4 linked regions of the Saccharomyces cerevisiae S288C genome follow. The protein of the gene in region 1 purifies or fractionates together with the protein of each later gene. This does not show direct contact. Each region holds a gene or a part of one and is shown in the gene's direction. Other genes may lie near its edges. The genes, in order: TPI1, TDH2, GPM1 and FBA1.

The links.
Region 2: the proteins of TPI1 (region 1) and TDH2 purify together in Saccharomyces cerevisiae (affinity purification with mass spectrometry; 2 studies listed by BioGRID, with this or other methods). This does not show direct contact.
Region 3: the proteins of TPI1 (region 1) and GPM1 purify together in Saccharomyces cerevisiae (affinity purification with mass spectrometry; 2 studies listed by BioGRID, with this or other methods). This does not show direct contact.
Region 4: the proteins of TPI1 (region 1) and FBA1 purify together in Saccharomyces cerevisiae (affinity purification with mass spectrometry; 2 studies listed by BioGRID, with this or other methods). This does not show direct contact.

What each region holds. Positions count from the first base shown.
Region 1 is NC_001136.10:555,226-558,263, reverse strand, and holds TPI1 (triose-phosphate isomerase TPI1), read left to right. Parts: upstream 1-1,791; coding exon 1,792-2,538; downstream 2,539-3,038. Other genes in the region: acid phosphatase DET1, read left to right, coding at 204-1,208.
Region 2 is NC_001142.9:453,084-456,572, reverse strand, and holds TDH2 (glyceraldehyde-3-phosphate dehydrogenase (phosphorylating) TDH2), read left to right. Parts: upstream 1-1,891; coding exon 1,892-2,890; downstream 2,891-3,489. Other genes in the region: MET3 (sulfate adenylyltransferase), read right to left, coding at 1-334; MHO1 (Mho1p), read right to left, coding at 3,127-3,489. UniProt on the Saccharomyces cerevisiae protein: Glyceraldehyde-3-phosphate dehydrogenase (GAPDH) involved in glycolysis and gluconeogenesis. Catalyzes the reaction of glyceraldehyde-3-phosphate to 1,3 bis-phosphoglycerate.
Region 3 is NC_001143.9:163,119-166,447, reverse strand, and holds GPM1 (phosphoglycerate mutase GPM1), read left to right. Parts: upstream 1-2,062; coding exon 2,063-2,806; downstream 2,807-3,329. Other genes in the region: NNR2 (NADHX dehydratase), read left to right, coding at 518-1,531. UniProt on the Saccharomyces cerevisiae protein: Interconversion of 3- and 2-phosphoglycerate with 2,3-bisphosphoglycerate as the primer of the reaction. Can also catalyze the reaction of EC 5.4.2.4 (synthase), but with a reduced activity.
Region 4 is NC_001143.9:325,809-329,383, reverse strand, and holds FBA1 (fructose-bisphosphate aldolase FBA1), read left to right. Parts: upstream 1-1,896; coding exon 1,897-2,976; downstream 2,977-3,575. Other genes in the region: cleavage polyadenylation factor subunit MPE1, read left to right, coding at 1-1,266; BLI1 (Bli1p), read right to left, coding at 3,272-3,575. UniProt on the Saccharomyces cerevisiae protein: Catalyzes the aldol condensation of dihydroxyacetone phosphate (DHAP or glycerone-phosphate) with glyceraldehyde 3-phosphate (G3P) to form fructose 1,6-bisphosphate (FBP) in gluconeogenesis and the reverse reaction in glycolysis.

The sequences.
Region 1 (3,038 bases):
TTCTGAACAAATAATGATCGAGTACCCACCGCGGTTAATGTCCCAGTTTTCATTTTTACCCGATATCCTGCAGAGACCGAGAGGCATGAAAAAAAAAAAGCTAGTTCTCAACTGCATTAATTGCAGCTCGTATTCATGGTTCAACATAAAAGAACTTACGCTACAGCATTCCATTTGAATAACTCAGAGTATTAGTAAAAGAAATGTGTGAAGAGAATGTTCATGTTAGTGAAGATGTTGCTGGCAGTCACGGTTCTTTTACGAATGCCAGACCTAGGTTAATTGTACTAATAAGGCATGGGGAAAGCGAATCAAATAAAAACAAGGAGGTCAATGGTTATATTCCTAACCATCTGATTTCTTTAACGAAAACAGGTCAAATCCAAGCTAGACAAGCTGGTATTGACTTATTACGTGTTTTAAACGTAGACGATCACAACTTGGTGGAGGATTTGGCTAAGAAGTATATTAAAGATGAAAGTAGCAGGAGAACTTTACCGCTGAAGGACTATACCAGGCTGAGTAGAGAAAAAGACACAAACATAGTTTTTTATACATCACCCTATAGAAGAGCAAGGGAAACATTGAAAGGTATTTTGGACGTCATCGATGAATATAATGAATTAAACAGTGGTGTTCGTATATGTGAAGATATGAGATATGATCCACATGGTAAACAGAAACATGCATTTTGGCCGAGAGGACTTAATAATACTGGTGGTGTTTACGAAAATAATGAAGATAATATTTGTGAAGGGAAGCCTGGAAAATGTTATCTGCAATATCGGGTTAAGGATGAGCCAAGAATAAGGGAACAAGATTTTGGTAATTTCCAAAAAATCAATAGCATGCAGGACGTTATGAAGAAGAGATCTACGTATGGTCATTTCTTCTTCAGATTCCCTCATGGAGAAAGTGCGGCAGATGTATATGACAGAGTCGCCAGTTTCCAAGAGACTTTATTCAGGCACTTCCATGATAGGCAAGAGAGAAGACCCAGAGATGTTGTTGTCCTAGTTACACATGGTATTTATTCCAGAGTATTCCTGATGAAATGGTTTAGATGGACATACGAAGAGTTTGAATCGTTTACCAATGTTCCTAACGGGAGCGTAATGGTGATGGAACTGGACGAATCCATCAATAGATACGTCCTGAGGACCGTGCTACCCAAATGGACTGATTGTGAGGGAGACCTAACTACATAGTGTTTAAAGATTACGGATATTTAACTTACTTAGAATAATGCCATTTTTTTGAGTTATAATAATCCTACGTTAGTGTGAGCGGGATTTAAACTGTGAGGACCTTAATACATTCAGACACTTCTGCGGTATCACCCTACTTATTCCCTTCGAGATTATATCTAGGAACCCATCAGGTTGGTGGAAGATTACCCGTTCTAAGACTTTTCAGCTTCCTCTATTGATGTTACACCTGGACACCCCTTTTCTGGCATCCAGTTTTTAATCTTCAGTGGCATGTGAGATTCTCCGAAATTAATTAAAGCAATCACACAATTCTCTCGGATACCACCTCGGTTGAAACTGACAGGTGGTTTGTTACGCATGCTAATGCAAAGGAGCCTATATACCTTTGGCTCGGCTGCTGTAACAGGGAATATAAAGGGCAGCATAATTTAGGAGTTTAGTGAACTTGCAACATTTACTATTTTCCCTTCTTACGTAAATATTTTTCTTTTTAATTCTAAATCAATCTTTTTCAATTTTTTGTTTGTATTCTTTTCTTGCTTAAATCTATAACTACAAAAAACACATACATAAACTAAAAATGGCTAGAACTTTCTTTGTCGGTGGTAACTTTAAATTAAACGGTTCCAAACAATCCATTAAGGAAATTGTTGAAAGATTGAACACTGCTTCTATCCCAGAAAATGTCGAAGTTGTTATCTGTCCTCCAGCTACCTACTTAGACTACTCTGTCTCTTTGGTTAAGAAGCCACAAGTCACTGTCGGTGCTCAAAACGCCTACTTGAAGGCTTCTGGTGCTTTCACCGGTGAAAACTCCGTTGACCAAATCAAGGATGTTGGTGCTAAGTGGGTTATTTTGGGTCACTCCGAAAGAAGATCTTACTTCCACGAAGATGACAAGTTCATTGCTGACAAGACCAAGTTCGCTTTAGGTCAAGGTGTCGGTGTCATCTTGTGTATCGGTGAAACTTTGGAAGAAAAGAAGGCCGGTAAGACTTTGGATGTTGTTGAAAGACAATTGAACGCTGTCTTGGAAGAAGTTAAGGACTGGACTAACGTCGTTGTCGCTTACGAACCAGTCTGGGCCATTGGTACCGGTTTGGCTGCTACTCCAGAAGATGCTCAAGATATTCACGCTTCCATCAGAAAGTTCTTGGCTTCCAAGTTGGGTGACAAGGCTGCCAGCGAATTGAGAATCTTATACGGTGGTTCCGCTAACGGTAGCAACGCCGTTACCTTCAAGGACAAGGCTGATGTCGATGGTTTCTTGGTCGGTGGTGCTTCTTTGAAGCCAGAATTTGTTGATATCATCAACTCTAGAAACTAAGATTAATATAATTATATAAAAATATTATCTTCTTTTCTTTATATCTAGTGTTATGTAAAATAAATTGATGACTACGGAAAGCTTTTTTATATTGTTTCTTTTTCATTCTGAGCCACTTAAATTTCGTGAATGTTCTTGTAAGGGACGGTAGATTTACAAGTGATACAACAAAAAGCAAGGCGCTTTTTCTAATAAAAAGAAGAAAAGCATTTAACAATTGAACACCTCTATATCAACGAAGAATATTACTTTGTCTCTAAATCCTTGTAAAATGTGTACGATCTCTATATGGGTTACTCATAAGTGTACCGAAGACTGCATTGAAAGTTTATGTTTTTTCACTGGAGGCGTCATTTTCGCGTTGAGAAGATGTTCTTATCCAAATTTCAACTGTTATATAGAAGAGCAAAAAATTGCCAAAAAAAACAACATTTATTCATTTGAAATATAAAATTTGGGCTTCTATATTTTAATATTGCTTTTCAATTACTGTTATTAAA
Region 2 (3,489 bases), on another chromosome or scaffold:
TAGGAATTTCATCATCTTGGAAAAGGGCAATTCTTGTGTCTGGTTTAATTTGGTTAGCAAATGCTTCATCAACATCTAATGTAATAGGGATGGTCCACAATGTGCCGTCTGCTAATCTCGAATCTGTAACAACAGAGGAGTAATCGTTTTCGTTCAAAAACCCAGTCAGAGGAGAAAACCCACCATTTAGAATCAATTCAATATCACATAGTTGTCTAGGAGTCAAGTTCCATACTAAAATGTCCGAAGATTGCGCTTCAGATAACAATTCATTCTTCTTTAACGCATCTCTAGCAATCAAGTCTTGTAGAATACCACCGTGAGGAGCAGGCATGTTAATTATACTTTATTCTTGTTATTATTATACTTTCTTAGTTCCTTTTCAATTGTTAAGAAACGATATCACAACTGTTACGACAGAGAGAGACCCAAGCTAGAGATCACAAGCTAAAAAAGAACCAAGTTTACATATATATATATATATATATATATATATATATATATATCCATATTCATATTTCTCGAGAAAGAGCCTCTATTTCTCATTGGTAAGTAACTTCATAAGAGACTAAGTTGTAAAACTGTGGCTTTGTTATACGGTGATTTCCTTTGGAGGTTGCTAAGGTTTATGGTGTTGAGTGCAGTGTGCACGACAGGGACCGCTAGAATGCGGTGAGTTACAAAATTACACGTGACTTTTCTGGTCACGTGACCTTTTTTTCTGTCAGCAATCCGTAGGATGCGCGTTGGCGCTACAAGTGTGTCATATCTGTACTATATTTGTACACTTATATGTAGTTGTGACAAAAGTCTCTGTTAGTACTAAATTAAACGATGTTATATCTGTGGACCCCCTCACCTTATACCACTACGTACATATCGTTGGAAAATCTAGATCAGAGGGTGGTAAATGAAGTGTAATAGTATTCATTTTTCTTATAAATCATCCCTTCCGTGATTTATACAAAAGAAGAGGAGAATATGCTGAATACTTGGTATATTACTCTACATTATACTCTTATCTTGACGGGTATTCTGAGCATCTTACTCAGTTTCAAGATCTTTTAATGTCCAAAAACATTTGAGCCGATCTAAATACTTCTGTGTTTTCATTAATTTATAAATTGTACTCTTTTAAGACATGGAAAGTACCAACATCGGTTGAAACAGTTTTTCATTTACTTATGGTTTATTGGTTTTTCCAGTGAATGATTATTTGTCGTTACCCTTTCGTAAAAGTTCAAACACGTTTTTAAGTATTGTTTAGTTGCTCTTTCGACATATATGATTATCCCTGCGCGGCTAAAGTTAAGGATGCAAAAAACATAAGACAACTGAAGTTAATTTACGTCAATTAAGTTTTCCAGGGTAATGATGTTTTGGGCTTCCACTAATTCAATAAGTATGTCATGAAATACGTTGTGAAGAGCATCCAGAAATAATGAAAAGAAACAACGAAACTGGGTCGGCCTGTTGTTTCTTTTCTTTACCACGTGATCTGCGGCATTTACAGGAAGTCGCGCGTTTTGCGCAGTTGTTGCAACGCAGCTACGGCTAACAAAGCCTAGTGGAACTCGACTGATGTGTTAGGGCCTAAAACTGGTGGTGACAGCTGAAGTGAACTATTCAATCCAATCATGTCATGGCTGTCACAAAGACCTTGCGGACCGCACGTACGAACACATACGTATGCTAATATGTGTTTTGATAGTACCCAGTGATCGCAGACCTGCAATTTTTTTGTAGGTTTGGAAGAATATATAAAGGTTGCACTCATTCAAGATAGTTTTTTTCTTGTGTGTCTATTCATTTTATTATTGTTTGTTTAAATGTTAAAAAAACCAAGAACTTAGTTTCAAATTAAATTCATCACACAAACAAACAAAACAAAATGGTTAGAGTTGCTATTAACGGTTTCGGTAGAATCGGTAGATTGGTTATGAGAATTGCTTTGCAAAGAAAGAACGTCGAAGTTGTTGCTTTGAACGATCCTTTCATCTCTAACGACTACTCCGCTTACATGTTCAAGTACGACTCTACTCACGGTAGATACGCTGGTGAAGTTTCCCACGATGACAAGCACATCATCGTTGATGGTCACAAGATCGCCACTTTCCAAGAAAGAGACCCAGCTAACTTGCCATGGGCTTCTCTAAACATTGACATCGCCATTGACTCCACTGGTGTTTTCAAGGAATTGGACACTGCTCAAAAGCACATTGACGCTGGTGCCAAGAAGGTTGTCATCACTGCTCCATCTTCCACCGCCCCAATGTTCGTCATGGGTGTTAACGAAGAAAAATACACTTCTGACTTGAAGATTGTTTCCAACGCTTCTTGTACCACCAACTGTTTGGCTCCATTGGCCAAGGTTATCAACGATGCTTTCGGTATTGAAGAAGGTTTGATGACCACTGTTCACTCCATGACCGCCACCCAAAAGACTGTTGACGGTCCATCCCACAAGGACTGGAGAGGTGGTAGAACCGCTTCCGGTAACATCATCCCATCCTCTACCGGTGCTGCTAAGGCTGTCGGTAAGGTCTTGCCAGAATTGCAAGGTAAGTTGACCGGTATGGCTTTCAGAGTCCCAACCGTCGATGTTTCCGTTGTTGACTTGACTGTCAAGTTGAACAAGGAAACCACCTACGATGAAATCAAGAAGGTTGTCAAGGCTGCCGCTGAAGGTAAGTTGAAGGGTGTCTTGGGTTACACTGAAGACGCTGTTGTCTCCTCTGACTTCTTGGGTGACTCTAACTCTTCCATCTTCGATGCTGCCGCTGGTATCCAATTGTCTCCAAAGTTCGTCAAGTTGGTTTCCTGGTACGACAACGAATACGGTTACTCTACCAGAGTTGTCGACTTGGTTGAACACGTTGCCAAGGCTTAAATTTAACTCCTTAAGTTACTTTAATGATTTAGTTTTTATTATTAATAATTCATGCTCATGACATCTCATATACACGTTTATAAAACTTAAATAGATTGAAAATGTATTAAAGATTCCTCAGGGATTCGATTTTTTTGGAAGTTTTTGTTTTTTTTTCCTTGAGATGCTGTAGTATTTGGGAACAATTATACAATCGAAAGATATATGCTTACATTCGACCGTTTTAGCCGTGATCATTATCCTATAGTAACATAACCTGAAGCATAACTGACACTACTATCATCAATACTTGTCACATGAGAACTCTGTGAATAATTAGGCCACTGAAATTTGATGCCTGAAGGACCGGCATCACGGATTTTCGATAAAGCACTTAGTATCACACTAATTGGCTTTTCGCCGCATATGGTGTTTCCGGTGATTTCCAAGTATTGTTTCCAAGCATCGTACCTTTCACCATTTGGAGTATCACTTAGCGTTTTCATCGCATATCTGTCCATTATTTCAATGGATTGCCAAATGGGAACTTGATGATGTGAAAGTTTACTCCTAGCAGTTAACATTTCCACTTCTGTTTCCTCTTGAATGGCATCATTCAA
Region 3 (3,329 bases), on another chromosome or scaffold:
CTTAACACAAGCGGGCATTGCGAGCAAACTGCATTCTTATATACGTACCTCTCTCGACAAGACACCAATCAAGGGCCCTTATTTCTCTTCTTTTTTCAAACGGAGAAACACTCCGAGCGATAGTTCCTACGCTTGTTTGGTCTTAGACCTTTGAAGTTTGAATTGTCAGGGGTAACAAGTTCCTTATACGATATAGGCGTCATAATGAGGGGGATAGTTTAGCATTGCGTGGAGGGATACTGAAGGTCATCGCAAATGAACCTAATTCATTCACCTATTGTTACCAGCTTGCATACTAGAAATGGACTCTTATGATCGTCAAAAGGAGCACACACCCACACACGACTCCTTTGCGCTGTAAAGGGCAGAATAGGGAGTGATGTGATGTGATGCGATGTGATGGGTCTTGCAACGTGATCTAGTAGATATATATGTAAAGGTGTAAATAGGTATATAGGCGTCGGTGAAATTTTATTAGCAACACCAGTTCAATACGATCACTACCGTATCACTGGAAATGTTAGCAGAATTGTCTCATAGAGAATTGATAAAGTTGGCGCAGAAAAGATGTATACCACCTTTATTGCCAAAGTTTCATAAGGGACAGTCTGGTGGGAGAGTTTGCATTATTGGAGGATGCGAAGATTATACAGGGGCACCGTATTTCAGCGCCAATGCTACAGCCTTGATGGGCTGTGATTTGACACATGTCATCTGCGAATACAACGCTGGTACGGTCATTAAATCGTACACCCCAAACCTAATGGTTCATCCATACCTTCGTATGAGTAACACCAAATTAGACGTTGATATGGACGAACAAAGGAAGAAAATCAATTCCTTATTGGATAGAATCCACGTTGTGGTAATTGGACCCGGCTTGGGTAGGGACCCCCTAATGTTAAAATCCATTAAGGATATCATAAGATATATACTTGAAAAACATGAGGGCAAGATCCCGTTAGTAATTGATGCTGATGGACTGTTCTTAGTAACTCAAGATAGCGAAGTCAAAGAAATGCTGAAAAGCTACCCCAAAGGTAGAGTGATCTTGACGCCCAATGTGGTAGAATTCAAAAGACTATGTGATGCCATAGGCAAGAAGGGAGACTCTCACTCCGAGATGGGCAGCTTGATCGCCCAGGAATTGAATTGTATTGTGGTGGAGAAAGGTCAGTCAGATAAGATATTCTCACCCGATAGTGAAAAAGACATGTTGACGAACAGCGAAGAGGGCAGCAACAAGAGGGTAGGAGGCCAAGGTGATACTTTGACAGGAGCTATATCATGCATGCTTGCATTTAGTCGTGCAATGTATGACTTTAAGATTTGTGAGCAGGAAGAAAAGGGAGAATCTTCTAACGATAAACCCTTGAAAAACTGGGTAGACTACGCTATGTTGAGTTGCTACGCAGGCTGCACAATTACACGAGAATGCTCCCGCCTAGGATTTAAGGCTAAGGGACGTGCAATGCAGACGACAGATCTAAATGACCGTGTCGGTGAAGTGTTCGCCAAACTTTTCGGTTAACACATGCAGTGATGCACGCGCGATGGTGCTAAGTTACATATATATATATATATATATATATATATATATATAGCCATAGTGATGTCTAAGTAACCTTTATGGTATATTTCTTAATGTGGAAAGATACTAGCGCGCGCACCCACACACAAGCTTCGTCTTTTCTTGAAGAAAAGAGGAAGCTCGCTAAATGGGATTCCACTTTCCGTTCCCTGCCAGCTGATGGAAAAAGGTTAGTGGAACGATGAAGAATAAAAAGAGAGATCCACTGAGGTGAAATTTCAGCTGACAGCGAGTTTCATGATCGTGATGAACAATGGTAACGAGTTGTGGCTGTTGCCAGGGAGGGTGGTTCTCAACTTTTAATGTATGGCCAAATCGCTACTTGGGTTTGTTATATAACAAAGAAGAAATAATGAACTGATTCTCTTCCTCCTTCTTGTCCTTTCTTAATTCTGTTGTAATTACCTTCCTTTGTAATTTTTTTTGTAATTATTCTTCTTAATAATCCAAACAAACACACATATTACAATAATGCCAAAGTTAGTTTTAGTTAGACACGGTCAATCCGAATGGAACGAAAAGAACTTATTCACCGGTTGGGTTGATGTTAAATTGTCTGCCAAGGGTCAACAAGAAGCCGCTAGAGCCGGTGAATTGTTGAAGGAAAAGAAGGTCTACCCAGACGTCTTGTACACTTCCAAGTTGTCCAGAGCTATCCAAACTGCTAACATTGCTTTGGAAAAGGCTGACAGATTATGGATTCCAGTCAACAGATCCTGGAGATTGAACGAAAGACATTACGGTGACTTACAAGGTAAGGACAAGGCTGAAACTTTGAAGAAGTTCGGTGAAGAAAAATTCAACACCTACAGAAGATCCTTCGATGTTCCACCTCCCCCAATCGACGCTTCTTCTCCATTCTCTCAAAAGGGTGATGAAAGATACAAGTACGTTGACCCAAATGTCTTGCCAGAAACTGAATCTTTGGCTTTGGTCATTGACAGATTGTTGCCATACTGGCAAGATGTCATTGCCAAGGACTTGTTGAGTGGTAAGACCGTCATGATCGCCGCTCACGGTAACTCCTTGAGAGGTTTGGTTAAGCACTTGGAAGGTATCTCTGATGCTGACATTGCTAAGTTGAACATCCCAACTGGTATTCCATTGGTCTTCGAATTGGACGAAAACTTGAAGCCATCTAAGCCATCTTACTACTTGGACCCAGAAGCTGCCGCTGCTGGTGCCGCTGCTGTTGCCAACCAAGGTAAGAAATAAGTCTGAAGAATGAATGATTTGATGATTTCTTTTTCCCTCCATTTTTCTTACTGAATATATCAATGATATAGACTTGTATAGTTTATTATTTCAAATTAAGTAGCTATATATAGTCAAGATAACGTTTGTTTGACACGATTACATTATTCGTCGACATCTTTTTTCAGCCTGTCGTGGTAGCAATTTGAGGAGTATTATTAATTGAATAGGTTCATTTTGCGCTCGCATAAACAGTTTTCGTCAGGGACAGTATGTTGGAATGAGTGGTAATTAATGGTGACATGACATGTTATAGCAATAACCTTGATGTTTACATCGTAGTTTAATGTACACCCCGCGAATTCGTTCAAGTAGGAGTGCACCAATTGCAAAGGGAAAAGCTGAATGGGCAGTTCGAATAGTACTTAAGATTAGTTAAAAGTCCATGATTGAACATTGATGTGGTAGTTACATGCATGATGAATATGCGCCATGAGAGGTTGGTGAATTTTGAGATAATTGTTGGGATTCCAATGTTGATAAA
Region 4 (3,575 bases), on another chromosome or scaffold:
GATGGTACCGGCCTGACAGTATTTGATTTGAAAAGGGAAATTATTCAAGAGAACAAACTAGGTGACGGCACAGATTTCCAATTAAAAATTTACAACCCAGATACAGAAGAGGAATACGACGATGATGCCTTTGTTATACCTAGATCTACTAGTGTCATAGTAAAAAGATCTCCAGCAATTAAATCATTCTCCGTACACAGTCGACTTAAAGGGAATGTGGGAGCAGCAGCTCTTGGGAACGCAACAAGGTATGTTACTGGTAGGCCAAGAGTGTTGCAAAAGAGACAACACACTGCTACAACCACTGCTAATGTTAGTGGTACAACGGAAGAAGAAAGAATTGCTAGTATGTTTGCCACACAAGAAAATCAATGGGAACAAACGCAAGAAGAAATGTCTGCAGCCACACCTGTTTTTTTCAAGTCACAGACGAATAAGAATTCTGCACAAGAAAACGAAGGCCCACCGCCACCAGGTTATATGTGCTATCGTTGTGGGGGTAGAGACCACTGGATTAAAAATTGTCCAACTAACAGCGATCCAAATTTTGAAGGAAAAAGAATCAGAAGAACCACAGGTATTCCAAAGAAGTTTTTAAAATCCATTGAAATAGATCCCGAGACAATGACACCGGAAGAGATGGCTCAGCGAAAGATTATGATTACGGACGAAGGCAAGTTCGTGGTACAAGTTGAAGACAAACAATCATGGGAAGACTACCAAAGGAAAAGAGAGAACCGTCAAATTGATGGTGATGAAACCATTTGGAGAAAAGGCCATTTCAAAGATCTTCCTGACGATTTAAAATGTCCCTTGACAGGTGGTCTTTTGAGGCAGCCGGTAAAGACAAGCAAGTGCTGTAACATAGATTTCTCAAAAGAGGCGCTGGAAAATGCACTGGTAGAGAGCGACTTTGTATGCCCCAATTGCGAAACCCGCGATATCCTTCTCGATTCTTTAGTACCCGACCAGGACAAGGAAAAGGAGGTCGAAACGTTTTTGAAGAAACAAGAGGAACTACACGGAAGCTCTAAAGATGGCAACCAGCCAGAAACTAAGAAAATGAAGTTGATGGATCCAACTGGCACCGCTGGCTTGAACAACAATACCAGCCTTCCAACTTCTGTAAATAACGGCGGTACGCCAGTGCCACCAGTACCGTTACCTTTCGGTATACCTCCTTTCCCCATGTTTCCAATGCCCTTCATGCCTCCAACGGCTACTATCACAAATCCTCATCAAGCTGACGCAAGCCCTAAGAAATGAATAACAATACTGACAGTACTAAATAATTGCCTACTTGGCTTCACATACGTTGCATACGTCGATATAGATAATAATGATAATGACAGCAGGATTATCGTAATACGTAATAGTTGAAAATCTCAAAAATGTGTGGGTCATTACGTAAATAATGATAGGAATGGGATTCTTCTATTTTTCCTTTTTCCATTCTAGCAGCCGTCGGGAAAACGTGGCATCCTCTCTTTCGGGCTCAATTGGAGTCACGCTGCCGTGAGCATCCTCTCTTTCCATATCTAACAACTGAGCACGTAACCAATGGAAAAGCATGAGCTTAGCGTTGCTCCAAAAAAGTATTGGATGGTTAATACCATTTGTCTGTTCTCTTCTGACTTTGACTCCTCAAAAAAAAAAAATCTACAATCAACAGATCGCTTCAATTACGCCCTCACAAAAACTTTTTTCCTTCTTCTTCGCCCACGTTAAATTTTATCCCTCATGTTGTCTAACGGATTTCTGCACTTGATTTATTATAAAAAGACAAAGACATAATACTTCTCTATCAATTTCAGTTATTGTTCTTCCTTGCGTTATTCTTCTGTTCTTCTTTTTCTTTTGTCATATATAACCATAACCAAGTAATACATATTCAAAATGGGTGTTGAACAAATCTTAAAGAGAAAGACCGGTGTCATCGTTGGTGAAGATGTCCACAACTTATTCACTTACGCTAAGGAACACAAGTTCGCTATTCCAGCTATTAACGTCACCTCTTCTTCTACTGCCGTCGCTGCTTTAGAAGCTGCTAGAGACAGCAAGTCCCCAATCATTTTGCAAACCTCTAACGGTGGTGCTGCTTACTTCGCTGGTAAGGGTATCTCTAACGAAGGTCAAAATGCTTCCATCAAGGGTGCTATTGCCGCTGCCCACTACATCAGATCCATTGCTCCAGCTTACGGTATCCCAGTTGTCTTACACTCTGACCACTGTGCCAAGAAGTTGTTGCCATGGTTCGATGGTATGTTGGAAGCTGATGAAGCTTACTTCAAGGAACACGGTGAACCATTATTCTCCTCCCACATGTTGGATTTGTCTGAAGAAACCGATGAAGAAAACATCTCTACTTGTGTCAAGTACTTCAAGAGAATGGCCGCTATGGACCAATGGTTAGAAATGGAAATCGGTATTACCGGTGGTGAAGAAGATGGTGTTAACAACGAAAACGCTGACAAGGAAGACTTGTACACCAAGCCAGAACAAGTTTACAACGTCTACAAGGCTTTGCACCCAATCTCTCCAAACTTCTCCATTGCTGCTGCTTTCGGTAACTGTCACGGTTTGTACGCTGGTGACATCGCTTTGAGACCAGAAATCTTGGCTGAACACCAAAAGTACACCAGAGAACAAGTTGGTTGCAAGGAAGAAAAGCCATTGTTCTTGGTCTTCCACGGTGGTTCCGGTTCTACTGTCCAAGAATTCCACACTGGTATTGACAACGGTGTTGTCAAGGTCAACTTGGACACTGACTGTCAATACGCTTACTTGACTGGTATCAGAGACTACGTCTTGAACAAGAAGGACTACATAATGTCCCCAGTCGGTAACCCAGAAGGTCCAGAAAAGCCAAACAAGAAGTTCTTCGACCCAAGAGTCTGGGTTAGAGAAGGTGAAAAGACCATGGGTGCTAAGATCACCAAGTCTTTGGAAACTTTCCGTACCACTAACACTTTATAAGTTAATTCAAATTAATTGATATAGTTTTTTAATGAGTATTGAATCTGTTTAGAAATAATGGAATATTATTTTTATTTATTTATTTATATTATTGGTCGGCTCTTTTCTTCTGAAGGTCAATGACAAAATGATATGAAGGAAATAATGATTTCTAAAATTTTACAACGTAAGATATTTTTACAAAAGCCTAGCTCATCTTTTGTCATGCACTATTTTACTCACGCTTGAAATTAACGGCCAGTCCACTGCGGAGTCATTTCAAAGTCATCCTAATCGATCTATCGTTTTTGATAGCTCATTTTGGAGTTCGCGATTGTCTTCTGTTATTCACAACTGTTTTAATTTTTATTTCATTCTGGAACTCTTCGAGTTCTTTGTAAAGTCTTTCATAGTAGCTTACTTTATCCTCCAACATATTTAACTTCATGTCAATTTCGGCTCTTAAATTTTCCACATCATCAAGTTCAACATCATCTTTTAACTTGAATTTATTCTCTAGCTCTTCCAACCAAGCCTCATTGCTCCTTGATTTACTGGTGAAAAGTGATACACTTTGCGCGCAATCCAGGTCAAAACTTTCCTGCAAAGAATTCACCAAT